7 linked regions of the Mus musculus genome follow. The protein of the gene in region 4 interacts with the protein of the main gene of each other region in a biochemical or structural test. Links are inferred from orthologs where the notes say so. Each region holds a gene or a part of one and is shown on either strand. Other genes may lie near its edges. The genes, in order: Jam2, Cldn8, Cldn7, Tjp1, Jam3, Cldn1 and Cgn.

Evidence for each region.
Region 1: the proteins of Tjp1 (region 4) and Jam2 form a complex in vitro, tested with the Homo sapiens proteins (2 studies listed by BioGRID and IntAct, with this or other methods). The link is inferred for Mus musculus from reciprocal best matches to the Homo sapiens genes TJP1 and JAM2.
Region 2: the proteins of Tjp1 (region 4) and Cldn8 form a complex in vitro, tested with the Homo sapiens proteins (2 studies listed by BioGRID and IntAct, with this or other methods). The link is inferred for Mus musculus from reciprocal best matches to the Homo sapiens genes TJP1 and CLDN8.
Region 3: the proteins of Tjp1 (region 4) and Cldn7 form a complex in vitro, tested with the Homo sapiens proteins (2 studies listed by BioGRID and IntAct, with this or other methods). The link is inferred for Mus musculus from reciprocal best matches to the Homo sapiens genes TJP1 and CLDN7.
Region 5: the proteins of Tjp1 (region 4) and Jam3 form a complex in vitro, tested with the Homo sapiens proteins (2 studies listed by BioGRID and IntAct, with this or other methods). The link is inferred for Mus musculus from reciprocal best matches to the Homo sapiens genes TJP1 and JAM3.
Region 6: the proteins of Tjp1 (region 4) and Cldn1 form a complex in vitro, tested with the Homo sapiens proteins (2 studies listed by BioGRID and IntAct, with this or other methods). The link is inferred for Mus musculus from reciprocal best matches to the Homo sapiens genes TJP1 and CLDN1.
Region 7: the proteins of Tjp1 (region 4) and Cgn form a complex in vitro, tested with the Homo sapiens proteins (2 studies listed by BioGRID and IntAct, with this or other methods). The link is inferred for Mus musculus from reciprocal best matches to the Homo sapiens genes TJP1 and CGN.

Annotation. Positions count from the first base shown.
Region 1 is NC_000082.6:84,772,877-84,777,046, forward strand, and holds the start of Jam2 (junctional adhesion molecule B precursor), read left to right. Parts: upstream 1-1,246; 5' UTR 1,247-1,610; coding exon 1,611-1,677; intron 1,678-4,170. UniProt on the Homo sapiens protein: Junctional adhesion protein that mediates heterotypic cell-cell interactions with its cognate receptor JAM3 to regulate different cellular processes. Plays a role in homing and mobilization of hematopoietic stem and progenitor cells within the bone marrow.
Region 2 is NC_000082.6:88,560,359-88,564,528, forward strand, and holds Cldn8 (claudin-8), read right to left. Parts: upstream 2,826-4,170; 5' UTR 2,678-2,825; coding exon 2,000-2,677; 3' UTR 468-1,999; downstream 1-467.
Region 3 is NC_000077.6:69,963,989-69,968,235, forward strand, and holds Cldn7 (claudin-7 precursor), read left to right. Parts: upstream 1-1,432; 5' UTR 1,433-1,938; coding exon 1,939-2,161; intron 2,162-2,954; coding exon 2,955-3,119; intron 3,120-3,231; coding exon 3,232-3,316; intron 3,317-3,566; coding exon 3,567-3,729; 3' UTR 3,730-3,898; downstream 3,899-4,247. UniProt on the Homo sapiens protein: Plays a major role in tight junction-specific obliteration of the intercellular space.
Region 4 is NC_000073.6:65,368,370-65,372,811, forward strand, and holds the start of Tjp1 (tight junction protein ZO-1), read right to left. Parts: upstream 2,876-4,442; 5' UTR 2,468-2,875; coding exon 2,441-2,467; intron 1-2,440. UniProt on the Homo sapiens protein: TJP1, TJP2, and TJP3 are closely related scaffolding proteins that link tight junction (TJ) transmembrane proteins such as claudins, junctional adhesion molecules, and occludin to the actin cytoskeleton.
Region 5 is NC_000075.6:27,100,150-27,103,577, forward strand, and holds part of Jam3 (junctional adhesion molecule C precursor), read right to left. Parts: intron 1,868-3,428; coding exon 1,715-1,867; intron 1,292-1,714; coding exon 1,089-1,291; intron 34-1,088; coding exon 1-33. UniProt on the Homo sapiens protein: Junctional adhesion protein that mediates heterotypic cell-cell interactions with its cognate receptor JAM2 to regulate different cellular processes. Plays a role in homing and mobilization of hematopoietic stem and progenitor cells within the bone marrow.
Region 6 is NC_000082.6:26,361,721-26,365,379, forward strand, and holds part of Cldn1 (claudin-1), read right to left. Parts: intron 1,515-3,659; coding exon 1,350-1,514; intron 1-1,349.
Region 7 is NC_000069.6:94,765,844-94,769,502, forward strand, and holds part of Cgn (cingulin), read right to left. Parts: intron 3,575-3,659; coding exon 3,317-3,574; intron 1,445-3,316; coding exon 1,274-1,444; intron 1-1,273. UniProt on the Homo sapiens protein: Probably plays a role in the formation and regulation of the tight junction (TJ) paracellular permeability barrier.

The sequences.
Region 1 (4,170 bases), on a different chromosome or scaffold from region 4:
TATCTCTCCCTTTCTCTTCTCAGTTTTCACGACTAATTTGACTCTTTTAATTGGATTGTCAAGGACAATTGACTTAACCTGTCTCTGAGCACAGGCCTTAAGTCTTTTTTTTTTTTTTTTTTTTTTTTTGCCTTAAGTCTTAAGTTAGATGACACCCTTACTCCCTTACTGTTTGTGAGTTTGGGCTACCAGCTCCATTTTTGCCTTTTTTTTTTTTTTTTTTTTTAACTTTGCTTTTCTTGCCCTCAGGGGTCTTCTGTCCCCTCCCCTTCCCCATGAGGGCCAAAGCTTTCATCACTGTTGCCCAGGCAACAGTGGGGATGCCTCATTCCTCACAGCTCTGCATATCTAAGTATATCTTAAGCCTTTGTCCGCAAGGCTGGCTCAATTCTTTGTAAGTGGTCCACCACTAAATCAGCCATCCTCTACACATAATTATTTATTATTTAGCTTTATTTAAAACGATTTTAAAAAATGTCTTCACCTGACAACGGCCTTTACACAGACGGGTCAATTTTCTTGAATGCCCCAGCCATCAGTTCTGGAGAGGAAATGTGAAAATCGCCTTTGCAAGTGCACGCTTCCGAAGTGCGGGTCAATTTTAAAGCACGCACTGGAGCATTCATAATGGATTTCCCTTTTAAAAGCACATGAGACCAAAAATAAACCTGACAAAAGGGCAGCTGTAGAGTTTTAACATGTGGAAAACTCCACAGGCGGCAGTTACATAACGGGGAAGAAACAAGATAAATATTTCACACCGTTAGATGAACTTCCAGATGACAACTAAGAAGCCAAGAGCCCAGAACACACCTTAACTCTCTAAGGGGTTGGGGGGACGGGGAGGACGGACTTGAAGCCAGAAGAGGCTAAGCCTGATGATAAAATCTGGGACCTGACTTGCAACTTGAGTGATGCCTTTGTCCCCCGCCCCCTCCGCCCCTCCCCACCCCCCCTTTCTAGAGGCAGGGGCTGAGCTCATGCCCCTATACTTTAAGAGCGCTTCGCCAGCGGTTTTGTCCGCTAGATAGAAATTTTCCAAAAAATATCTCCCACGCTAGGCAAAACACTGAAAAGGAAGTTTTTTTGCGCCAAGAGGAGAGACATGGCGAGACAGACCGAGCCACTACCGCTCCCAACACACACACACCCTGCCCATCCCACCCGGCTGCGCTCCTCCTGCCCCCAGCTCCTCGCCCTGGGGACAGCTGGCAGCCTAGCGCGGGACTAGACACAAAGCGGATCAGTCTGGGGGCGGGGGGCCGACCTGCAGGGTTCTCCCTCAAGAGGCTAGTCCTCTGCCGCCACTCGCTTAGGACCCTGCGGACACCGCGTCCCGCGTCCACGCCCTCCCCTCAACCCTCTTCCACCCTTCAAAAGAAGGACTGTCCCAGACACCACGTCCTAGGGCCAGAAGACCTGCCCCCACGACAGTCGCTGGAGACACCCCAGACCGGAGAGACTGACATCGGGACAGGACCCGCCCCTCTGCTTCCACCTCTCAGGGACCTCCTCTGCTCCGCCGCCGGGCGAAGTGCTGGGAGACCCAGCCGCCTGTCGCGCTCCTGCAGGGGGACCCTCAGCTAGGCAGCCAGCTGGCGCCCGCGTAGATGGCGAGGAGCCCCCAAGGCCTCCTGATGCTGCTGCTGCTACACTACTTGATCGTCGCCCTGGACTGTAAGTCTCTGGGGTAACAGTCCTTTCCACCCTCCGGTCTGGCTATACCAGCCTCCGGGACCCTCGCCTGCAGGCATGGCGCTCAGTGCTAGGGGGTCTGTCTCGGGGCGCCAGGCTTTGCAGTCTGGGAGCACGGAGGGTAATCTGGATGAGGGCAGGCTCTGGGCAGGGAGACTGAAGTCCTGTGCGTCTTGTAAATAGTGTTGGATCTGGGCAGTTAAGAATTGAAGAAAACAGACGATCCTCATCTCCTTGCAAAGTCCGAGGAAGTTTTCAAAGACACCGGGACGTGATCAGAATGCAAAACTCTCTAAGTATTCAAGATGCGAAGAGCCCAAGAAAGATGGCATCCGGGGTTGGCGAAGGCCACTCTTAAGTAGCTGCGGCTGAGGGATCAGTGGTTACGGTCCCAGCTGCCCCGGGCAAGGTGCTGGGTAAAGCACTTTAGAGGCGGTAGCGGGGTGAAATTAGCTGAGCCCCAGTAGCTTTTCGCCTTTACGCCTGCAAAACCGGCTTAGAGAAGTCTGTCCGCTCCAGCCAGCTGCCGTGTCCTCAGGGGATGTCCAGCCAGCGGGACTGGCTGTTAGGATTGTTAGAAAGGCGCAGGCGATGAATGAGCGAGCTGGCAGCTGGCATAGCTGCGGAGGCGTCCCAAAGCCAGTTTAGTTTCTCTGGGTACTTTGAAAGAGGATTTGCGCGGGTGCTGGCCTAATGTGATTTGAAATTTGATTTTTGTTTTCTTCGCGTTAACTTTTTAGGAAAAGGTAGGAAATTACTATCTATTTTTAAGTGAGGAAGTCCTTGTTGTTGTTGTTGTTGTTGTTGTTGATGATGATGATAAACACCCTCCCCCTCCCTGTTATCTTTTGTTCTGTTGGTTTCTTCACTAGGGAGGGGTAAATGTGTTATTGTTGAGGTTCAAGTTCTAGTCACAGTACTTAATAGTAGTTCAATTATTCTGCCCGACGAACGTCTTAACACTAACGCTGAGGCTTTTTCTCAGACCAAAGTGATGGGGGCTCACAAAACGATTTGCCGCTCAGAACCCGAACAGGGTGCCTGCTGACTCAGGGGGAGGTATATATCAAGCCAGGAAGTTGACATTCGCAATGAAATCTTTATGCATGCTGAAATATCAGCTGGTATCAAACGGAACACTTAGGGTTTGAGAGGTAATGTACTGAGTATGAAAATCAGCGACGAAGCTGGAATCTGGAGGTAGCGTAACTAAAAAAACAAAAAGTTAAGGTGAAAAGTTCTGTGTTCCTCTGAGCTTTTAAGTCTCACTTTAACAGGAGTCATTTAAAAATAAAATAGTTTTTCTCTGTTATTCCCATTCTGTCATCAAAATAGAAACAATAGATGCCGTTTGTCATTCCAGCGTAGTCAATCCAGAAGCCAGCGAAGGCTAATACTGAATGTGTAGAATGAGTTCTTCCATATCTAGGTTATCGGCAGGCTCCACTAACTCTGATACCTGTAAGGAAGAAGTTGGGAAGCAGCACGGGACCTTTCTCATACTGTTCCCTCAGTGCCAGAAGGTCTGGCATTTCAAGCGTGTTTTCTTCCCTTTTAACACATTTAAAACTTTCAAAAACAATTCAGCTGTAAAGAAAGGGGACATTAGCATAGATAGTTCCCATATACTCTATACCCAGTTACCACCATTACAGTCTTATTATTATATAGTGTCACATGGGATACTCTGCTTAGATCTTCCTCATTCTTATGGAATGTCCTTTTCTGTCCCGGGATACCACATTTGGATTAACGGTCTTCTTCCTTTATGCTCCTCTTGGCTGTGGCAGTATTTCAGACACCCCTTGTTTTTTATGACCTTGACAGGTGCTGGTTAATTACGCTGTTAAATTTCCTTCAACTGGTATATCTCAGATGCTTCATTTGTGGTTAAATGATGTCATAGGGTTTTTGGAGGAAGAAGGAAGAGAAAGGAAAGACATTTTCATCCTCTCCTAATCCAGGGGACATGACCTGTCACTATGCTTTTAACCTTCTTGGCCTGGTGGAGGCAGTGTGTGTCAGCTTGCTGCAAGGGCTCCCTACTGTGCTATCCTCAATTCCACACTATACTGTTTTAAAGAAATGTCGATATTTTCAGCTCACACTAACGGACAGAGGCTGGGTTGGTTGGTGATACATGACTATAATCTCAGCAGGCGGGCAGGAGGCAGACAGACCATTCAAGGCCACAAAGGATTCAAGGACAGCCTGGATTATGGTGAGAATATCTCCAAAAATTATCAAGGAATGAGGGCGACAGTCAGTCTCAGAGGTAGGAAGCAAGGGCTAGAAATGAGGACTTACATGACATAAACACACATGTATAAGCTTGCGCACATACACAGAGCACATATACACACACATAGGAATGTATTTCATTTTCTCCAGGGTCAAATTTCTTCATAGATTATTTCGGGCTTGTATGCACCGGAAATATGTCTTCTCAAACTTACTTACACACTTGTTTTAGGA
Region 2 (4,170 bases), on a different chromosome or scaffold from region 4:
CACCAAAGAAGTGGTCCTAATCCCTTACATTCTGATTTAGTGGGGGAGGGGACGAAGAAAATATGAATGGTGTCTGTGACACTTAGGGCAACTACGTATTTGTTGCTTACAGACTTATACAGACTTTCTTGTATAAGATGGCTGTCTGGATTTTTGTCTAGGCCATTTTGTTAGTCCTTGTTTGTTTCTTCTCCTAGCAACTGTTTTGCCCCAAAGAGGCAAAGTTGCCCAGGATGTAGAGTGACATCACCCACACGGGAGCGAGAACTAAGCTTTTCCAGCTAACAGTACTTGAACCTTTAATTCCACATACAGAGATTGCTTTATAAACTAGATCCCCCAGAGCGTCATGAGCACTTGCTGAGGGGTTCTGCAGTGTCATCTCTTATGTTTTCTGCCAGTATCACTGGCTATCACCCAACTATTTTTTAAGGTTCTCCCATTTATAAATTAAAACTACTACAATATTAGTATTGCAAACGTTTAATAATATCCTTCACATAAATATGATGTATATTCCCAAGTCATTTCAGCACTGCTTTTAGTTCATATGAATTCTCAGGAGTTGAAATACATATGGACAACATCTTTTAAAACATGATTACATACACAGTATTTACAACAAACACATTTCATTGGACCTAAGTGCAATTTAATATTATTCATATATTAATCAAATATTAGTGCATATGTGAGGTCATTATAAAGTACGTGGATTTTAAATCATACATTACAAAAGTGAACACAATATCTATGTTCAAACTAAAAGAGTCAATACCAAGTTTTAAACACTTGCACAAGGTAAAGAAAAAGAATGAAGATGCAAGAAATGCTATATTGTTATGAGATACAATTTATCAATATAAAAGTCATATATATGAAACTTAGAATAACAGTTGTCTCAAATTAGGAGGAAACACAGAGTGATACTACACTTCAATAGAACTTAGCAAAGGCATAGAAAATGGGGAAATCCCTTCAACAGAAGAGAAATGATAAGTTTGAGTGTCAGGAGTTAGAAGGGGACAAGCTTTTGGATTTGGAGGGTTTGTGTCTCTCTTTGGGTTAATAAAATGACAATGAAAATGTCCTTCTTTCTCCCTCATATATACTGATAAGTTCCTAAAAAAAAGAAAGAAAAAACTATGCAAAAATAGCATTTGAACAATCCCTTGCATGATATGACTTCATTTCAAAAACAATACATTCTTCTCTAAACAGAAAAGCTAATGATTTCATTTTTCTGAAATCATTAATTTTTCTAAGACCACTGCTTAGCCTTACAAAAGTAGTCTAAAGGAAAAAAAAATATTTTGCCAAAACATCTGCTTTAAACTTTAAGAGATAGTAGGCAACAGAAAATTAAGGCGTGTAGAGGGAAAGGATAAAGGTGACGGAATTTCTTACTCCTCGAGGCTGCAAAGCAGGATAGCAGAAAGCCTTACACTAATGATTAAAGCCTTCATTTTAACCTTCACTACAAATAGAGTGCACTAATCCTTAAGCTGTTTTTAGGCAATTAATATCAGCCTCCTTCTCTTTTATCCCCAGGCCCCCTGAAATGCAATAGCTGAGTTCTATTTATTCAGCGTGATGGATTGGCATTCCACTTTAAATAGAACCACATAAGCCTGTCTCTATTTGTGTGAGATATAACTGCCACCCGCATCTACTTGGATAATGTCATGACACAGAGAAATCACAGCTTAAGCCAACAGTCTTTCGATGTGCAGGTTTAGAGTGACTGATAAAAAGGAAGAGCTGAGTGAACCATTTTAGAAAACAAATGGCTAGGCTTTCTAGAACAATCGAAGCAGTGCACATAATACCTCATTCTGCTAAAATCACTTATGGAAACATAGACGCTGCATATTTCCTCTAATGAGTGCTAGGCAGTTAAGAAAGGTAAATGGATACAGTGTGGGCTCCATTTCTCTAAAATAGTGGCTGGTTTGGTGATTTATAAAAGCTTAGCTACGGCTAAAATATACACACACAACTACACATACTGACTTTTGGAGTATATGCTCGGAGATCTCTTTTCGGCGTGGAAACTCCGTTGAGTGGTGCGATGGGATGGTACCGAGTACCTGTAACTGTTGCTCCTTTCAGTACAACAAAACACACAACAGAACAGTGCTCCTCCAGCGATCAGCACCAGCGCTGTGGTCCAGCCTATGTAGAGGGCTTCTCCCAGCTCGCGCTTTAGGGCCACATCCACCAGTGGGTTGTAGAAGTCTCTGATGATGGAATTGGCAACCCAGCTGACAGGGATGAGCACAACCAAGCCGGTGATGAAGAAGATGATTCCGGCTGTCAGCAAGATGCGGCTCTTCACGTTCTCATCGTCCCCCGTGCATCTGGTGCACTTCATTCCGAGGATGGCTGTCATGAAAGCCAAGAAAGCCAAGACGGACGCAGCACACATCAGTCCTCGGGATGCCTGGAGGTCTGGACTAAGAGCCAGCAGGGAGTCGTAGACCTTGCACTGCATTCTGATGTTGGCATGCCTCATACAATTCATCCACAAGCCTTCCCAGCGGTTCTCAAACACCACAATGTTACTTTCGATGAAGGCAGACACTCTCCACTGAGGCATGATAGTCACAGCCACCGTGCCCACCATGCCAACACCACCAAGCACCAGTGCAGCCATTTGAAGAGCGTAGGTTGCCATCGTCCTCCCAAATTGTATCCAGCTGGAACGCTGACCCGGGAAGTAGGGCTTCCTTTCAAGCAGAAATCTGTACGCCTTGGGAGGGAGGGAACAGTTCTCCTGTAGAAATGTGCTCACAACACAGAGCTTAGCCCTCTCTGGCCAGATCAAATCTAGTGCTGGCTGGTGACACAACCCCCTCTTCTCTCCCCCCCCCCCCCTTTGGCTCCAACAGTAAACTTGCAAATCAGGTGTGGCAACTTTCTTAGCCAATAAGAGGGGGATGGGAGCTCAGGTGTGTCTAAACCAACTCAGGATACCTGGGAAAGCTGGGCTTGCAAATAAACATTCTTTGTACTTCTCTATTTTCTAAGAAGACAGCAGTATGTTTACCTAGAGGCATAATTATGAATGTTTGCACAATCAGCAAGGAGAGCCAGTCTCTCCCAGTTAAAAGAGGCACTGCTCTTTTCAGAGGTGAATCCTGCCCCTAAGCTGTTCTGACTGAGGTTGCAGTAAAACCTCTTCCAAGGGATTGGACAGGGATGACTCTAGGGCCAAGTTAAAGGAGAATGAAGGATGGATAGATTGTTCATACTGGGGAAACCACATTCTTGTTGGGACACGTGACCTGAAGTGTTGATTTAATTTGTCTAAAACTTCAAAAGCAAGCTCTCCTGCAGTGGGTTCAGCCAGTAGCACACTGCCAAGAGCCAACGCTAGACTGAAGCAACTTCTTAACCAGGTTGCTTTCCCCATTGCCACTAACTGTGTGTAATTGGGTGTCGGGGTTGGGGAGGGGGGAAGCTATCTGTTAGCATTTGTTTTCCTGAAAATACTGATTTATAATGAAGAGTGCAAAACACACCAAAAGAAAAGCCAGGTGGCTTTGTGAAGACGGAATCCCTAACTTAATGCTTAAATGAGGTCTTCTGTAGTTGCTAAAGTAGAGGCCTTTTTTCTAGCCCCTACTTCCTGCTCCATCTTCTAGTCTGAAGAAAAGGGAATTCTGGATGGATAGTGTGCAAGAAAGTCCCAGGTCTCTGCAAATAGCTGGCATTTTAAGTAACATCTTCATCGAAAATTATATTAAATGTTAATCAAAATTATCTTCCCTACCTATGGGGACATGTGTTATGCAAATAGACTTGGTGGCTCCTTGTAAGGCAATGTGAACTGTCTTTGCAAACTGACAATTGAACTGCTACTGGAATCAGCACCCACACTGACTGGCAAAGCTCCACTAGAAATTTCGTGTGGGAGGCCGTCCTTTGCTTTCTGCCCTGTATCCCCAAACTTCAAGCTATTTTTTGGCATACACATTTAAAAGTTACATTTTTTTTTTAAAAGATCTTAGATTGCCGTTGAGGATAGCTTGAGATATAGCATGCAGCACTAACTGGCCTCAAACCCTTCTATGTCCTCCTGCCTTAGCATCTTAAATTCTGAGCTGACTTGTAGCTATGTCAATTCTGTAGCTGAGCATCAGAATAGTTATCAACGTATACAAGATG
Region 3 (4,247 bases), on a different chromosome or scaffold from region 4:
ATAAACGTAAATAAAAAACCAAAAAACTAGCAAAAGGAAGAAAGACCTGTGAAGGTCTGAGAGGTGGAAGGAGGTTGTAGGAGAGGTAGACTGGAAGAAAGAACTAGAAAGAGTTCAGGGGGGCAGTGATGGACACACTGGGCTACTGGGCTCCAAGGGTCTGGAGGGAGCAACCTTAGTCTGGAAGTGTGTGTGTGTGTGTGTGTGTGTGTGTGTGTGTGTGTGTGTGTGTTGGGGGGGGTGAATAAAAATGCAGAAGGCAGGAAAAGGGGAAAGATAAATGAGAACCTTAGAAGCCAAGCTGGGAGGAAGGATGGTCAAAGTTCTGGGAAAGCTGGAAGGAGTGGAGGCTGAGCTAGGCTTTCTATTTTTTTTTTTAAGATTTTATTATTATATTTAAATACACTGTAGCTGTCTTCAGACACACCAGAAGAGGGTGTCAAGATCTCATTATGGATGGTTGTGAGCCACCATGTGTTTACTGGGACTTGAACTCAGGACCTTTGGAAGAGCAGTCAGTGCTCTTAACCCCTGAGCCATCTCCCCAGCCTTAAGCTAGACTTTCTAAGGGATGAATTAAGATGCTAGAGTGGGTCGGAGGGCACCGAAAGGGCACACAAACAGGTCCCCGGAAGCTCAGAATGAAGGAAAGAGAAAGTGTGTGGATGGAGAAGGAAGTGAGGAAAATGAAGGTAAACCAGAAATGACAACCTGGGGAGGGGAATGTTGGGCGTGTCGTGTCAGACTCTCTGACCTAGGTCTTACCCTTCTCCCCACCCTCGGAAAACTCCTTCGGGTAGAAGGAGCCTCTATGTTGGAGGAGACACTGACAGGCTCAGGTGCTAAGTCCTGTACCTACCTGGTCCTGGGACCAGGCCTGTGGGAGGACTGTCGGAGAGCCGTGTCTTGTGGAGGGCTTGAGCGGTGAAGCGGTAGGTTGCTAGACTGTCTGAGAGTAGAAATTCCTAGAAGGGTGCATGCAGCACGGGTGATTTTACCGTAATGGGTTAGGGCCCCTGATGATGAGACAGGCCTTGGTAGGAGACTAAAGAAAAAAAGAGCTGAGAGTGGAGACGAAAGTCGGGCTGGACAAGTGGCACGCGCCGAAACCTGCAGGGGAAGGATGGCGAGGAGCCTTTCCAGGGGCGTCTGAGGGTACTGGCTCCGCAGCGACCCAGGCGCACCTGTATGGAAAGGAGAGGAAGGGGCCACTTGGAGTCTGCAGGGCAGACTCCGACCCCAGGGACTTCTGAGAAGCCGTCGCCTATTTCCCATCAACGGTTAGAGCCAGGCAAATGAAGGGGCGTGACCCTGGAGCTCAGGTTTCTTCCTCTTCACCTGGACGAGGAGGGGGTAGGGGCCAAGACTTCCGGTTCAGGTGAGTGTCCCTTCAGTGACGTCAGGTCACTCGACTGCCCCTCTGGTCCCGCCCAAGTTGCAGCGCTCCGGGTGCCTGCGGGGGCGCGTCCCCGACGTCCTGCATATATATACTCAGGTGCGCCGCACCTGCTCGCCCGCACCTGCCGCCGCACCGCCAGCTCCCTGTGCCGCGCACCGCAGCCTGGGGCCCAAGGGCCCGCATACTTTCTGGGGGCCACGCCCTAACGGCCCCTCCACTTCTTTGGGTAGTCTCGGAGCACGCCGGTAGGAACCGCCCGGCCTTCGGGGACCGCTTTTGTCTGGAACCAGTCCTTCGGGCGAAGCCGGTTCCCTCTGCTGTGAGAGTGTCGCTTCACCGGAGGGGACGATTTGTGTTTACCTCGGTTAACAAGATTTGTAGTTACCCGGTCCAAAAAAAAATCTTTTTCTCCTTTGGGTGACTTAAATCTCTATCCAAATTTTCTTGTGTTGCTGCTCCCCGGATTTTTGTTTTTTTGTTTTTTTGCTTTACTGTAGGGTCGCCCTCCCGGCGCGTCCCGTCTTTTCTGAGACAAGGAAATGGCCAACTCGGGCCTGCAACTGCTGGGCTTTTCAATGGCCATGCTTGGCTGGGTGGGCCTGATAGCGAGCACTGCCATCCCTCAGTGGCAGATGAGCTCCTATGCGGGCGACAACATCATCACAGCCCAGGCCATGTACAAGGGGCTCTGGATGGAGTGCGTCACGCAGAGCACCGGCATGATGAGCTGCAAAATGTACGACTCGGTGCTCGCCCTGCCGGGTAAGGCCGTGGGACCGACGGGGCGGACGTGCCCAGGGTCAAGGTGGCCGGGTTGGGTGTGGGGCAGGGCCCAGGCCGCACTGCCCGGCGCCCGGGGTTGCCAGGGAGGAGGAAGTGGACGCCTTGGGCTCAGTCGGTGGGACAGAGAGAGAGCGTGCCTGGGATCTGATCTGGGTGTCCCACGTGGGTCCACGCCCCTCTGCCCAGATTTTTTTTGGGGGGGTTTCCTGGGCGAAGCACCCCCCAACCCCTGGCAGTCAGTGGTCTCTCTCTTCCCCTGCTTCTTTCTCTGGACAAAAGGAGAAGAGGGACGGAGGTTCTCAGGGCCGCGGAATCGTGCCCTCGTTAGACGTGGGACCGTACTTGTGGCCTCTAATCTTATCGGCCGATTAGCTGAAGCCACAAACTCGGTGGCCTCGATAGCGGGGCCAAAGCTAGGACACGCGCCGGCTGGTGTGGCTGGAGCGAGGGCCTTAGCCGCCACCTGCACTTCTCTTTCGCCCCCTTTCTCCCTTCCCCCCTACCTGGAACGGTTTCATCGAAACCTTGGCGCCCCGGGCGGGTTCTGGAGCGCAGGGCGGGGCGGGGAGCGGAAAGGACTTGGTGGCGGGATGGGGGCGGGAACCGTCTGCACAAGGCCTGCCTTGGACTAGGGGGCCCCAGGCTGCCGGCGGAACCAGACAGGCGGACCACGGTCCAGGGGTTAGTGGGCGCGGTCTGCAGCACTAAGGCTGGCGCCATCCTAAGGCTACCTGCCATTTCCAGCAATGACCGCCGCCTTCCTCCCCTGCAGGAGCCCTGCAGGCCACTCGAGCCTTAATGGTGGTGTCCCTGGTGTTGGGCTTCTTAGCCATGTTTGTCGCCACGATGGGCATGAAGTGCACACGCTGTGGGGGAGATGACAAAGCGAAGAAGGCCCGAATAGCTATGACTGGAGGCATTGTTTTCATTGTGGCAGGTGAGCCTCAAGGGTCCAGGGTGGGACCAAGGGGCTCAGTCTTTCACCCAGAAGAGCATAGTCAAGATCTTGGTCTGGACACCCAATACCAGAATCTTCTTTCTCTTTCTAGGTCTTGCTGCCTTGGTAGCATGTTCCTGGATTGGTCATCAGATTGTCACAGACTTTTATAACCCCTTGACGCCCATGAACGTTAAGTAAGTCTCCAGTCTAAAGAACCAGTAAGAACCAGATTATGCTGGGCGTGGTAGCACACGCCTTTAATCCCAGTACTTGGGAGACAGAGGCAGGCGGATCTCTGAGTTCGAGGCCAGCCTGGTCTACAAAGTGAGTTCCAGGACAGCCAAGGCTACACAGAGAAACCCTGTCTTGAAAGAACAAACAAAAAGATTATGTGGACTTGGGAGACATCAGGTCCGTTTTGACTCCAATCTTTTCTCCCTACAGGTACGAGTTTGGACCTGCCATCTTTATCGGCTGGGCAGGGTCTGCTCTGGTCCTTCTGGGAGGTGCCCTGCTCTCTTGCTCCTGTCCAGGCAGTGAAAGCAAAGCTGCGTACCGAGCACCCCGCTCTTACCCCAAGTCCAATTCCTCCAAGGAATACGTGTGAGCTGGGGAGCCCAGCCTGCGGGCAGGGTGGGAGGCAAAGGCCTCCTGGCCACTCCACCTCCAAACATCATGTATAGTTTGCTTGGGGGGAGGGCAGTTGGGGGGTTACTGGGAGAGGAAGACATGGGGTGTGCTTTTGTACAGAAATAAAATTAAGTTTTGGAAATTAGGTCTTTCCAGGCCGCTTTTTCTCCAGACCCAGATCCTTGCACAGGACTTGGAACTAAAGCAACTTACAGCAGCATGTGGTACCAGTGGTGTCTCCAGGCCTGGGGTCCCTACCTCCTTGGGCCTATTGCCTCAGCTCTAGTCTCAAGGTTCTTACCCACTCTCCTCCAAACTTTTCCCCACTGATTATTATTGTGTGGCCTAGTGGTATATAGGTGGGTATGTGTAGGGCAGTGAGTTCAGGGACTGAATTAAGGTCATTGGGAATGTGGCAAGTACCTTTTCCTGTTGCTATCTCATCATCCCCAACATCTGCTCTTGTTTAAGCATTACCAGAGGTTTTGATTGACA
Region 4 (4,442 bases):
TTGAATTACCCCCACAGATTAATCTTAGCTCATATTTTTCATTTTATTTATTTACTTATTTTGGTGTTTTCGAGACAGGGTTTCTCTGTGTAGCCTTGGCTGTCCTGGAACTCACTCCGTAAACCAGGCTGGCCTTGAACTCAGAAATTCGCCTGCCTCTTGCCTCCCAAATGCTGGGATTAAAGGTGTACGCCACCACGCCCGCTATCTTAGCTCATATTTAATGTTGATCACAATCACTAACAGCCCATAAATATGTTATTTCTGACTATGTGACTCCATTCTCTATTTTAAAGTACTCTGAATTTATAATAAATTGGGTTTTCTGAAAGGACTTTCTCCTTGCATTCATCTACGTGGTAAGATAAACATCTTCAGCTAACATGCTTTCTATACCACCACAATGGAACTCTCCTTAGAAGTCGCTGCACTTAACCATCAATTCAGGGACCATGGGTAAATCTATTGACTCTCGTCAGCCACAGAGTTTTATGGCACTGACTTGGATTTATGTCCTTCATCAAGATTCAGGCCAACTCACCAATATTTGCTGTGTTTATTCTTAGGTAAAGACTTTGGAGTAAGAGTTTGTGTATATCAGAATTTGAAACGCACTCTTTGGCATAGCAGTTTCACTTTTAATAAGCTGACATAGAGTAGCAGGTGTACAATACAAAAATGTAAATACAATTATATAAATTATACTCATTGCAATAACAATATCCTGGAAACAAGCCCAACAGCTCCATCCAAAAGGCAGTGATGACTGGAGCGGCATGGTGAAAACTACTCGACCTTACAAAGCTGGAGAATGAAAAGTACTGACGCACTCAAGTTCTACAACTGCTGTGCCAAAAACACAAGAGCAGGCTGCAAAACGAGTGTCTGTATGTCTTCACAGGGGTAGGAGAAACAAAAGCACCCTATGTAAAACAACCATGGAGCTGGAGCTTAAGCATTTTGGGTTCCCTGAGAACAATAAATGTGACTTAGGGAAGGAGGCAACTGGTTAACACTGCATTCACTAGCTCATTGAGGGAGGGCCTGGCTTTATGTAAGACTGCATCCAAGAAAATAACCCTTCAGTTCCCAGCTAAGGACGCAAATATTTAACTACAGAGGTGCCCCTATGTGCCATAAGATCTCAATACCATAATTTATGTGTAAAAGCACACCTTCTAAATCACCTTGCCACAGCAAGCTATTGGAAACACTTCTCTTGGAATAACACTTTCCAAGTGTGTTGTCTTGACTAACAAGTACCAGAGCTCACACTCTGAAACAAACTGACATTCTGTGTAATATGGCAACAAAGCCTTTCATCCCAGGAAAGGAAGTCCCAGCAAATGCAAATATCATCACTTATATTTTAAAAGTAACAAATGTTGCACTGATTCTAGTTTTTGGACCCAGTCTTTCTTTTAGATCTCTTATCAATGTTTGCTCAAAAAAAAAGATACAAACTAAATTACTCCTACAGGAGCAATACTCTATTCCTTAAAACAATCTATACTAAACCTTGTATCTGCCAAAGAAACAAGGTCCTGTCAAGAATTCAGAAATTTCCATCTATTCTCAAAGGTTATGATTAAGTATTTCAAATAGAAAACTACATAAAATCACCACCTGTTTAAGCTGTTTGAATAACGGATTGATTTTTCTCACACTGTATGTCTGTCATTGAAAAAGCAAGCACTTTAGGATTTTTTTTTAATTAAAACGTACAAAAGAAGGATTCTACTTCATCTTTAAGAATTTTAGCCTAATGTAATAATAATATAACACACTGTCAAGAAGCACACTTCAAAGCACACAGGAAAATAGGCAAGTTGTTTTGTGCAGAATTCACCGGGCTCTTTTGGTTTGCACCCATCTTACTGTCCATGTGTAGGGACACTTTGTGCTACTTCTGAAAGTTGAAATTAAAGTGCTTAAAAACTTTCCTCCTTCTGTGGCCTCACATAAATAATAAACCTCAAAATAAACCATAGCTACTCTAGAGCTGAGTGTTTTGCTGTCTCCAAGCTTTATCGCTGCCATTGCGCATACCGCAGCGGGTGACATCAGATCGAAACTATAGGGTTTCGTCGGGTACCAACCACTCCTCCAGAGCCAGCCCCGCGGCTACCCACCCACCCTCCTGCTGCAGCTGACACCCCCGGGTCTCCGCAGACACGCTCCCGGGACCTGAGAATCCTCACCCGGGGCGACTTTCCAGGCGCGGGACCTGTTGCACGTCGCCTCCCAGCGCGAGCCGGAGCCAGGCACCGGCAGCCGTGCACCTGCCCGGGCGGCAGGCGCACCCCCAGCCCGCCCTCCCGCCTTCCCTCACCGCCCCGCCGCGGTCGCCCCCGGCTGCCGCCGCGGGGAGGGCGGGGCGAGGCTCCCCCGCCGCCCCCCGCCGCCCAGCCCGCCGCCCGGCTGGCCGAGAGGTTCTCACCTTAGCGGCCGCGGCCCTGGCGGACATCTTGTCTCTCTCCGCGCCGCGCGAAGCTCCTCGGACCCGAAACTCCGCGCCGCCGGCCCGCCCGCTCCTCACGCCACCGTCCGCATAAACATCTCCCGGGGACGAGCGGGGCAGGGGCGGGGGAGGCCGGAAAGGCCCGGCCCACGGGGAGGGGATTCAAGTGGGACAAAAGTCCGGGAAGCGTCCGCCCCGCCCGGGCTTCTCCGCGGGGCACACCCGGCCGCCTGCTCGGCCTCCGCCGCCCTCCGCCGGCTCGCCGCTCCGCAGTACCCGGGCCTCCGGCTGTCCCCTACACCCTCGGGCGTCTCCTCCAAAGCCTGCTCCCGCACGTAACTTCCCCGGAACGCGCGGCCGCCGAGAGACGTGCCGTCGGCGGGCAGAGCCGTCGCGGGCAACTCAGGCGGCCACGCAAAACCTGCCGGACCGGGCCACTGAGCATGCCCAGCCGGCGGGGGCGGGGCCTCCGCGAGGGGCGGGGCCAGGCCGGGTCCGACCCCCGCGCGGAAGGAAAAGCTCGGCTACCCAAGTTACTTGCTAGGCGGTTTCCGCTGCCGCGCGATCCATCCTGTTTGTTTTTATCACAGATCCGGCAGAATTCGATTCACCCCCACCCCCGAGAACCCCAAACTCCTGTGTACTAAAGCTTTTTGACTCCCTACACAGACTTGTCTACTTTCTCCTCAACCAGCAACCCCAGATGGGCCCCACGCAGGAGTGTGACAATTAAGGTCGGCCTGGCCAATACCCAACTGTGGTTTCTTTAGCCTCGCAAGTAACAATGGTCACAACTGTCACCATGTGTCTCGGCACTGTTACCCCATTGGAGATATGTTTTTGTTTAAAGCACAACAGAAGCGTTCTAGAAGGCTCAGGACAAACCGACTGCCTTAAATAAACCAGGTACAAATCTGGACACTGAGATAATCCCAGCCCCCTTCTCCCGCCTCGCTAGACAGGGATCTCAATAGAATATTTTAGGCTATCAAGATTGCTGAAATTCTTGGCCCCTGAAGAGACAGAGCAGGCTGCCTGCCTTTCTAAACCAGAAAAGGATGTAAGGACACGCGGAATTCAACAAGTTCAATAGGCCACTGTGCAAACTTAGGCCAACTGTCTTGCTGAACCAAAAAAAAAAAAAAAAAAAAATTAGGTAGAAAACTATTTCGAGCTTCATTAATTTACATTCTGTATACTGCAAAGCTCTTAAGGAATATTAGAAAAATTTAGTAACATTAGATAACATCCTAAAGTACCTAGCATAGTGCTACAGTAGCCATACAAGGAAGAGGGAGACAGAAGCATCGGCTTTTAGACTATTGTTGTCTTTTGAGAATTCAACTATATGACCAATTTAAACCTAATTCTAACTTGGAAATATCCATACATGAAATGTAAACATCAATTAAGGTTTCAAAGTCAAGTATTTTGTAACTCTAAGCCAGCTGAACCAGAAAAGAGCATCGTGCAAACCAAACCCTGTTTCTCGGCATGTAGGAAAACAGTTAAAGTCAGTTTTGTTTTTTGTTTTGTTTTGTTTTAGTTGTGGTGTGTGTAGTTATTTCACAGGCAAAGTGTCCTGTGTTCTCTCAAAGGGGGTGATTAAATTTATCCTATGAGAAAACAGCATTATAAAAGACTTGGGTGTGCTGTGGCTGAGAAAGCGGTTCCTGAAGGACTTTCATACCAGGGAGGGCATTACCATTTAATAAGAGATGCACTCTGCAAACCTGCCTAGCAGTTTGATGCGCCTACTCCTTCCCTTTTCTCTTTGGTCAATCAGTTTATCAAGTCTATTATGTAAGCTAAATATTAGATCACTACATCGTGTCTACATCTAATTTACCTGATTGGTCTTATCTTGCCATGGCTTTAAAAAAAAAATGAAATCAAGGAAAACCATTTCACTTTCAGAACACTTTGCTTTAAAAAGTGTGTCAATTAAAAATTTCCAAATAATGTAACCATTCTTAAAATT
Region 5 (3,428 bases), on a different chromosome or scaffold from region 4:
CCCAGAGTCGTCCTTGTGGACAGCATTGAAAACCTGTTTTAGAAATGACAAAGTGTTACTTCACTCAACAGGACAAACTGAGTGACAGACATCAAGGGTGACACCACACAGACGCCCCACTGAAGCCACAAAGCAGTCCGCTCACCAGCAGCTCTACTGTCCTCACCATTTCCCTCCTGCATCAGAGCTTCACAAGGAACTCCCTTCGGGATGCAGAGAGAGCAAAGCTGGGCAAAGCTAGGCTGCAAGCAGCCCACTTCACTGTCCCTCTGAAGTTCAAGGGATCCTAGCAGCTCTCCTTAGACAAATACCAATACCCTAGAATGAGTCACGATTCACCCAATCACTCCCTGAAGTTGGGTATTTCACAAACCAGGACGCCACCCTCCCTGCTGAGTGCCTCAAAGCCAGCATGTCCTTTGCAGATGGCCAAGCCATGCTGTTGCATTTTCTTCTCGCTCCCATGTGACCTCCTACCTCCCAGTGGGTTAGCCTTTTTTCTTTTTCTTTTTTTTTTAATTGTTTTTTGTTGTTGTTGTTTTGAGACAGAGTTTCTCTGTATAGCCTTGGCTGACCTGAAACTCACTCTGTAGACCAAGATGGCCTCAAACTCACAGAAATCCGCCTGCCTCCTGAGTGCTGGGACTAAAGGCACGTGATGCCAACCACCACCAGGCACCAGGAGTTATTCTGAAGCAAATTCAAGACATATTTAATCCATATCTCTTTATGATAAGGACTTAAGAACTATAATCACAATTCTGTTGATAATGGCTTAATATCAAACACCTGCCCAGTAAGCACATTTCCTTCACGTGGTGCATATGTTCCGTTGATTATTCAAACTAGGATTCTAATAACATGAACCCACTTGTTTACCTGCCCCCTGTTCTCATGCAGATGTACAGGTTTCCATTTTGTTTTACCCTTAACACTTGTTTATATGAAAGCCGAAGCCACCTTTCCTGTAGTGTTTCTGATGTTCTAGATTTTGCCTCTGCCTTGAAAAGGAGCCTCCCTGGCTCTCCTTCCAGGCATCCTAGGTTCCAACAAACGCATCTGCTTCCTCACCTTGGAAGGGCTCTTACCAGAGTGCCTGTCTCCGAGTTCACATGGAAAGAGGAATTCTGGAACCTGGGATTGGCTCTGGAATCTGTAGGCAGTGGCACATCATTGCGGTACCAGCTGTAGTGAGGCCGGGGATAGCCCTCGCTCTCTTGGCACTGCAGTGTTGCCGTCTTGCCTACAGGTACAGCGGCTGGAATTCTGCAGACAGGGGTCACTGGCTTCACTGCAGGCAAAATACGGGTTGGTGTTTAAAATCTCAGCACAAGCCCATCATACCAAAACCTAGCGTAATAAAGCAGCTCCGAAGGCCACAGCCCATCCACTGCCTGCACCCTGCTCACTCTGAGTTCATTCCAGCCCGTGTGTCCAATCTCACAGTCTCCAGTTCTTCCACCTTCAGGAGTAAGCTGAAAAGGAGGCTGCAAAGGCAGATCCCTGAGGCCGGTAAGGAACACAGCAGATGCGTGTTCTCATCATCCCAGCCCAACTCTAGACAGCCTCAGTGGCCCCCCTTCCAAACTGCAGATAGCCCCAGGAACACAGCCCTGGAGGAATGAATCGAAATATGAGCTAGTCTCTTATTCTAGAGCTAAGGGCTGACTCATAGGGCTGGCCAGTAGAGATGCTACACATTAATGGGGCCTACCTTGCACAATTAACTCAATGGTAATCTCATCAACTTCTTTTCGGTCATTTAGAGCAACGACCTCACAGCGATAGATGGCTGAATCCGATCGTGTCACATTCCAGATCCTCAGGGAAGTTTTTCCAAACACATCTGTGCGACCTGCCAGGTCTCCTATAAAAAAGAAGACACAAGATCCTAGACACTGGAAGACTGTGGGGCTGGACTTGATGGCAGAGCAAGAAGACTGCAGTACAGTGCTGTTTGTCCTGTCCCTCCCTGTATGAAAGACGTGATCTTCATGGGGACCAGGCCACTGACTTCTTCCCATGTGCAACCTGAGCATCAGAACTAGTATCTGGTAGTTAAGATAAAGCCAGGAACCTTATTTCTCCTTATTATTCCCAGGAGGAGAAAATTAATTCAAGGAAAAGTTAAGAAAGGAAAACCAAATAAATATTTACAAAACAAAGTCTACAAAGGATGTTGTGGCTATCCACATGAAAAAGAAGAAAGCTGACCCCTGGCTGCCTCCCTAGTCAACAAATACCCACTAGAGTTGAACAAGAGCTGGGCATTTATTTGCAACACTATAAGTTTATAGGAATGGAGTTTGAGGTTAGCCTAGGCAACACAGTTAACTGGAGGCCAGCCTGGGCAATATTAGCAAAAGTTTTTAGATTTGTTTCCTTTATATGGATGAGTGTTTTGCCTGCATGTATGTCTGTACAGCAGATATATGCCTGATGTCTGTGGAATCAAACCCAGGTCCTCTGCAAGAGCAGCCAGTGCCCTATCCACTGAGCCATCTCAGAAGGCATAATCTTCATGACCGTGGCTTCGGTGATGGTTCCTTAGATACGACAACAAAGACACAAGCACAAAAACTGGGGGTTATACTACATTCCATCAAGTCAACAGCGGCTCTGCTTTAAAGGAAGTAAGCAGCCGAGAAAGCAATCTACACCGTCTGTACCAGGGGTACGGACGACTCTGCAAGCCACGTCAGAAAAAGGACTTGCCTCTGCAATGTATGACTCTACAACTCAGTGGAAATGCACCTAACAGTTGATCAGGTTTCTCCCAAGACACTGCCCACTTTGCACATGGAGAGATGAAACTCCACTTGGATACCTTATACCCTCTAAGACTATTAAAATAAAGGTCAAATGATCACAAGTGTGTGTGTGACTATGGTGGAAGCACCGAAGCGTGAGTGTAAATGGAGAAGCCAGGGCTGGGCACATGGCTTGCTCAGTGATTAAGTCAATTACTGCTTTTAGAGGATCCAGGTTTGGTTCCCAGCAACCTATGTGGGTTCACAACCATACATAACTCCAATTCCATGGGAGCCAATGCCCTCTTCTGACCTCTGCACACTCAGCATGCAGATACAGTGCACAGACATATGCAGGCAAAAGACACAAAATTTAAAAAAAAATATATATATATATAAATATATATATATGGTGACGCTCCTTTGGAAAGCCGTCTCAAAAACTCACCATGTAGCCACCATGTGGCCCAGTAGTTGTGTACTTGGTCTTCACACAGAGATGAGTGCAGAATACTGATGACAGCCAGTGTAAACTCAGCATCTGAACATCACCTGATGCGTGCTCAAAGCAGCATGGCGCCCACACAGTGACCAGGGACCCCGCCACAGAAGGGAACAACTAAGCCCTGTGCTAAGTGAAAGAAGCCTTACATGACGTCTCCCGAAAACGCAAAGCCT
Region 6 (3,659 bases), on a different chromosome or scaffold from region 4:
GGCCAGGGAGTCCTTAATAATGCTAGAAAGCACCCAGGGAATGGTGGGACACATTTTTAATCCCAGCACTTGGAGGGCAGAGACAGGCAGATCTCTGCTAGTTTGAAGCAAACCTGGAATACAGAATGAGTTTTAGGATGTCCTGGGCTACACAGAGAAACCCTATCTTAAAACTACCCTCCCCAAAAAAGTGAAAAGAAAAGAAATAAAGAAAAAAATGCTGGAGAGTGGATATAAAGTATTATTCCCCAAAAAGAGTATCTGACAAAAACATATATTAATCATTCTAATTTATTGTATACATATATATAATTTATTGTATATATTCTAATTTATTGTATATATATATATATATATATATATATATATATATATATATATATATATATATATATATATTTCAAAATACCACAATTTATATAATAACTGTTCGGAAAACTGACAAATCCAAAACAAATAACTTCTTTTATAGTACTTGACGGTACCAAAAAATCATTCTAGTTGACCATGCAAACTGATCATACATATGCTCTTGAACTGGTTAAGCAGACTTCTGAAGCCACCCCAGATACATGCCTATAGCACTTGTGAGAGTCGTGAGGATGGGTGTGGCGTGACACTACAGCCTTTGATGCAATCCTTGTAATGTTTCTTCCCTGCAACACCCAGCCTACGTTGTCAGAAGCTTTCAAATCCCTTTCTTTCTGTTCTGTTTTCTTCCTTAGCTCAGCTAACTTTATAGCCTACCTTGTTAATATTCCAAGCGTACTCATACTAAATTATCTTTTCTCTGGTCCATGGGTACATAGTGTTTGTTGTGAAATTAGCTCTGCCTATCTACAACGTTACCTCCTTCCAGTTTTCTCCACTAGGTCCAATCCCATCTTTCCCAATCCAATACCATTCACATATTATGTTTATTTTCTTGAGGCTGGCCTTGAACTCCACGTTTCCCTGTACTCATCTTTCTTATGCTAGGATCACAGCCATGAACCATCACACCCAAATAGCATTTTCTGAATCACATCAAATTGGTTCAGACTCTTTGGCTAAGTATCAAAATATCTTCTGAATCTGAATAGACTGGGCCAAGAGACTAGTAGGTACTTGAGCCCTTCATGGTTGTACTTGACAGAAGTGTACAGAGGTCAAATTCCCACTGGTTCTTAGTGAGAAGATGAAAGCCAACTGAATATAAGGCTCATGTCTTCAGATGGTAGAATATTTTTTTAAAGTTTCAGATTCAGTGAATAGAATATAAACCAAAGAAGCTAAAAGTTAGAAACCTTGATTTCAAACCACACTCTTTTGTGAAAAGTAGACAAGGGAGAAGGAGGAGCCTCTCTTACCTGAAATTAAAAATATTATGCCCCCAATGACAGCCATCCACATCTTCTGCACCTCATCATCTTCCAGGCACCTCATGCACTTCATGCCAATGGTGGACACAAAGATTGCGATCAGCCCCAGCAGGATGCCAATTACCATCAAGGCTCGGGTTGCCTGCAAAGTACCTGGTGGGAAAGATTCAGGACATGTCAAAACCATGCCTGGAGCAGTCACAGCACAGTGGTGGGAGATGAGATACGTTATTGTATTTAGGGGGGAAGGGATAAAAGTGAACAAGGTGCCCAAAGGAAAATGAACTCTAGTGACATTTCTGCCGTAGCCACTGGGACGGTTGCTAGGAGGATGCAAACCGAGAGTCAAGGATGGCTGCTACTTTAGTTATGAAGTCCAAAATCAACTGGAAAGTTATTAATGAATCAGTTGAATAGGTCTCACTGAGCTGAATATGTAACCATTACCATTGGGTAGTTAGAGTCTGAACTAACAGTCACACATATTATCCTTAATGGTCATCATTTGTAACTCTGGCTTAAAATACATATTTAGTACTAGTCACTAGTTTTAGACTACATTCTCTAGGCTTCAGAAACAAGTGACTATGGACAAGCAAATGAGGTTTTCAGGGGTGACCACGGCTAGATAAGTAATATTGTATCCCTAGTTACACGAGGTTGAGTAGGGGAAGGGTACAACTTTCTAGATTTTTAAGTTAAGGCAAAAATTTAAGAAGATAACTTGGAACATAGCAGTAGATTCATAGGAGATAGTACCAGTTTTTAAAACCACAAAAGCATACTACATAATGTTAGGGATAACCCCAGCTCGCATTTCTAAGGTTTCTGCAAATTTTCTAAAAGCCTCTTTCTTATCTGTGTTGTGTTAAATTATCACCAGAGACAGGATGAGATTTGAGAGACTGTGACAGTGTGTTTCCTAAGGAATAAAAGCCAACATTATGGTAAAAGAATAGTGTGTGTGTGTGTGTGTGTGTGTGTGTGTGTGTGTGTGTGTGTGCTGGAACCCTACTTAGAAGATGTTTAAATTATAAATTAATTTCCCCTTTCAACTGAACATCACTATACCACACTCTTAATAAGTGAAGTGGACGTTTTTTTTGTATGGAAACATTTACACTGCAAGCTATTAGGATCTTGAGAAAATTACCTACTATTTGGAACCATGCTTGTATTTTGTAAAATATAAGGGTGACCATCTCTATGCAGGGAGTTAGAACAATTTGCTCCTTCCTGGTCTTCAGGAGTGACTAGATGATGGTCTTCTCAATATTTAGTAGGTACACAGGGTTAGTCTCACATGTTCAAAATTGAGAAGTTAAGTTACCAATCTCAATTCAAAACAAACTTCTCTGGAATGCCACTACATTTTAACTTACAACCATTTCTATCCTTGTTATTACAGTCCATGACAGAATCACACAACGTCTTTCTAAGCAGTATCAAATGTATTTTCACAGCATTCCATGATATTTGGAAGCAATTTTTACTCTTTCATCAAAATACTAAAATGGTACACTCTCTCTTTTGGCATACTCTTTTGTTTATAAGTGTGCAACAAGAATATATAGACACACCTCTCTTGCACACTCATTACAAGGTTCCAGGGTAAGGAAGGAACTACTGGATCAGAGCCATGTTCCATGGCCCATGGCTTTACTAGGAACGGAAGCTGCTCATGTGACCATTAGAAAACTTTCCTTGGAGTCACCAACCATGCTGTGGTTTAAAGAGGAAAGTCCCAAGGACTCCCAGTTAAGGTGTACACTTCCTTCTGAGTTATCAACAGTATTTTGAACAGTACATGTTATTTCTTAGGAAAATAAACAACTAAATAATTATGTTCTTACAAAACAGATTTGATGTTTTGCTTAGATAGAAACCATTTTGGAAAGATGCTGCAGGCAATGATGAGATCTATGTGCCTGGAGGAGAGTGTGACCATTCATTCTTGCCTGTTTGCTAAGGATGCTTCGTATTTTAAGTAAAAAGTCTAGCATCCTAAGAAAGTCGTGGATCCCGAGTAAAATGGGCCAACTGGCTACCTAATAGATAAATGACAAATGGTAGGAAGTGAAATAAAGTAAATTTAGGTTGGCAGGAGGCATACATATACATATATATGGATATAGATATATAGATATATAGATATACACACACACATACCCATACTGATTCCCATATACATATATACATAGGAATACATATGTACATAAATATACATATACACATTACAATACATATACACACTATACACACACACACACACACACACACACACACACACATACATTA
Region 7 (3,659 bases), on a different chromosome or scaffold from region 4:
TTGGGGGCAGGCATAACTATGCCTATTTAGAGAGTTTTTAAGACTATTAATCCTTTCAGGCCTTAACTCCCAGCATTAGCAGGTAGAGATCAAAGAGATCTCTGTGAGTTCAAAGCCAGCCATAGTTAAGACCCTACCTCAAAGCAAACAAACAAAAAAATATCTACTGGCTCTAGGTCCCAAATTAATATCTATGTAATATGAGATGATGTTTAGAATTAAGATTTTTCAACATCTCAGCGTAGCAGTGGCAGTGCATGCCTTTAATCCCAGCACTTGGGAGACAGGCACACAATCTCTGATTTCTAGGACAGTCAGAGTTACAGAGAAATCCTGTCTCAAAAAAGCAGGAAAAAAAAAAGCAAAAAAGATTTTAAAAAATCATTCTGGGTGACTTTAATGTGCAGCAGAGGTTGAAAGCCACTGCTCTAGAGAGGGATGCTGCTCTAGAGAGGGATGCTGCTCTAGAGAGGGATGCTGCTCTAGAGAGGGATGCTGCTCTAGAAAAGGATGCCGTTCTAGAGATGGATGCTGCTCTAGAGAGGGATGCTGCTCTAGAGAGGGATGCTGCTCTAGAGAGGGATGCTGATCTAGAGAGGGATGCTGCTCTAGAGAGGGATGCTGCTCTAGAGAGGGATGCTGCTCTAGAGAGGGATGCTGCTCTAGAGATGGATGCTGTTCTAGAGAGGGATGCTGCTCTAGAGAGGGATGCTGCTCTAGAGAGGGATGCTGCTCTAGAGAGGGATGCTGCTCTAGAGAGGGATGCTGCTCTAGAGAGGGATGCTGCTCTAGAGAGGGATGCTGCTCTAGAGAGGGATGCTGCTCTAGAGAGGGATGCTGCTCTAGAGAGGGATGCTGCTCTAGAGAGGGATGCTGCTCTAGAGATGGATGCTGTTCTAGAGAGGGATGCTGCTCTAGAGAGGGATGCTGCTCTAGAGAGGGATGCTGCTCTAGAGAGGGATGCTGCTCTAGAGAGGGATGCTGCTCTAGAGAGGGATGCTGCTCTAGAGAGGGATGCTGCTCTAGAGAGGGATGCTGCTCTAGAGAGGGATGCTGCTCTAGAGAGGGATGCTGCTCTAGAGAGGGATGCTGCTCTAGAGAGGGATGCTGCTCTAGAGATGGATGCTGTTCTAGAGAAGGATGCTGCTCTAGAGATGGATGCCCTCTTCTGTGGTTCCACATGAGTCTGGGGCCTAGCACTCCAGCCATAGGTTCAGTGAGAAGGCAAAGACTTTCAAAGCCATGGACAGGCTCCTGTTGTCTACGTTCCTACCTCATCCTGAAGCCGGCTCAGCCCCCCTGAATTCTTTTCAGCCTCACTGGCCCAATCCTTGGCCTGACGCTGGGCATCAGCTACTTCCTTCCGGGCCTTTTCCTTGTAATCTTCCATCTGAGCCTGGAGCTGCTGCAGGGCTAGCTTGGAGTCATCCCCAATCTGCTCCAGCTAAAACGCAGAGGGAAAAGGTTTCTGTCAGCACTGCACCTCTGTAACAAATGTTCAGTCCCTTCTCTAGACCCAGCTTCCAAGAGTCTCCCATGAGCTTCCGCTCTGCCAAGCAGCTGTCTCTAGCTTGCCTGGTCTAGATCCCTGGAATGGCTAATCGTTATATATTCAAATTCTGGACGTTGGAGTTTTAGCCCTTACTTATCATCTCTGATCTCATTTTCCTGTCTATAAAATGAGATAATAACAGCACCTACATTGCTGAGTTGATACTGAATTATGTTAATGATTTAAAATACCTATAAAGTGGCTGATACTAAGTAAATCTTCAATGACCACATTTCTGCAAACTCAAGTTATAAGACGTACTTCTAAGATAGAAAATCTGCCGACTAAACTACCACAAACCCTCAGTTACTGTGTCTCTTTGGCTCTTCCTGCAATTTAAATCTTTACTAATGCCAGAAACCTGGGATGGGGAGTCTCTGAGGAGTCTATTCAAGTGACTTTAGCTGAGACGCCTAGCAGAAGGGGATACAGAGCCTGAAGTAGCCACATCCTATAGCCAGGCAGGACTCTCATTGGAGGGATAAGAACATCAACCCACCCACAAAACCTTCCACCCAAAATATGTCCTGCCTATAAGAAATCCAAGGACAAAGATGGAGCAGAAACTGAGAGAATGATCAATCAATGAGGGGCCCAACTTGAGACCCATACCATGGGCAAGCACCAATCCCTGACAGTATTAATGATAGTCTGTCTTGCTTGTAGACAGGAGCCTAGCATAACTGTCCTCTCAGAGGCTCCACCCAGCAGCTGACCAAAACAGATGCAAATACCCATAGACAAACATTAGATAAAGTCCACAAAGGGACTCTTATGGAAGAGTTGGGGGAAGGACTGAGGAACCCAGAGGAGATAGGGACTCCCAATAGAATCAATTAACTTGGACCCTTGGGGGCACCCAGAGACTGACCAACCAAAGAGCATACATAGGCTTCTCCCCACCACAAACATATGCAGCAGATGTGCAACTTGGTCTTTATGTGGGTCCCCCAACAACTGGAGCCAGGGCTCACCCTGACTTTTCCCCCTGCCTGTAGATCCTTACTAGACTGCCTTGTCTAGTTTCAGTGGGAGAGGATGTGTCTAGTCCTGCAGTGATTTGAGGTGCCAGGGTGGGTTGGTATCCAGGGGAGACCTCCCCTTCTTCCCTCTTCTCAGAAGAAGGGATGGCAGAAGGGGCTGTGTGAGAGGAGCACTAGGAGGAGAGATGGGGCTGCCATCAGGATTGAAGTGAATAAATCAATTAATGAATGCAAAAAAGAGTACATACTGCTCTTCCAGGACCTGAGTTCAGTTTCTAGCACTCATATCGGGCAGCTCAAAACTGCCTGTAACTCTAGCTCCGGGGAGCTTGATGTCCTCTTCTGACCTCCTGGGGTACCGTACTCACTCATATGCACACATATAAGCCCCCACATAGACAGATATATCATAAGGACCAAGCATGGTGGCACACGCCCTTCCTTAATTTCAGCACATGGGAGGCAGAGGCAGGTGGATCTCTGTAAATTCAAAGCCAGGCTGTGGTCTATATAATGACTTCTAGGACAGTCAAGGTTACACAGAGAAGCCCTGTCTCAGAAAAAACAAACAAACAAACAAACAAACAAAACAAAACAAAACCAACCAAAAAGCAAACAAACAAGATAACAGTAATAGTAAAGTTTAAAACTTTTTTAAAAAAGAAAAATTTGGTCCAATCCTATCTGAGAAAAAGTAGTGCCATACATCCTGACCCACCTCCAGGGTTAGCTTCTGTAGGGCTCGCACCCCTTCCTAAGGGGCCACACTACCCATATTCACCTCTTTGTTGAGTCGGTCTACAGTCCTGTTCAGCAAACGCTTCTGCTCCTCCAACTCTGCCTTGCTCCTCCGGAGAGCCTCCCGCTGCTTCCCCTCTTCCTCTAGGGCCCGGTTCAGTGCTTGCTGTTCCTGCCCAAGGCGTGCCAGCCCCCGCTGGGCCTCATCTAGCCGGACCTCCAGAGCCCGCTTGGCTGCTGCCAGGTTCCCCTCCTCCTCCCGGGCAGCATTCAAAGCCTCTTCCAGCTGCTGTTTCTCTACCTGGGAGGCGGGAGAGGAGGAAGGCTGGGCTGAGAGAAAGGAAAACTCAGGCTGAAGCATTGGAGATAGGAAGATGAAAAAGGTA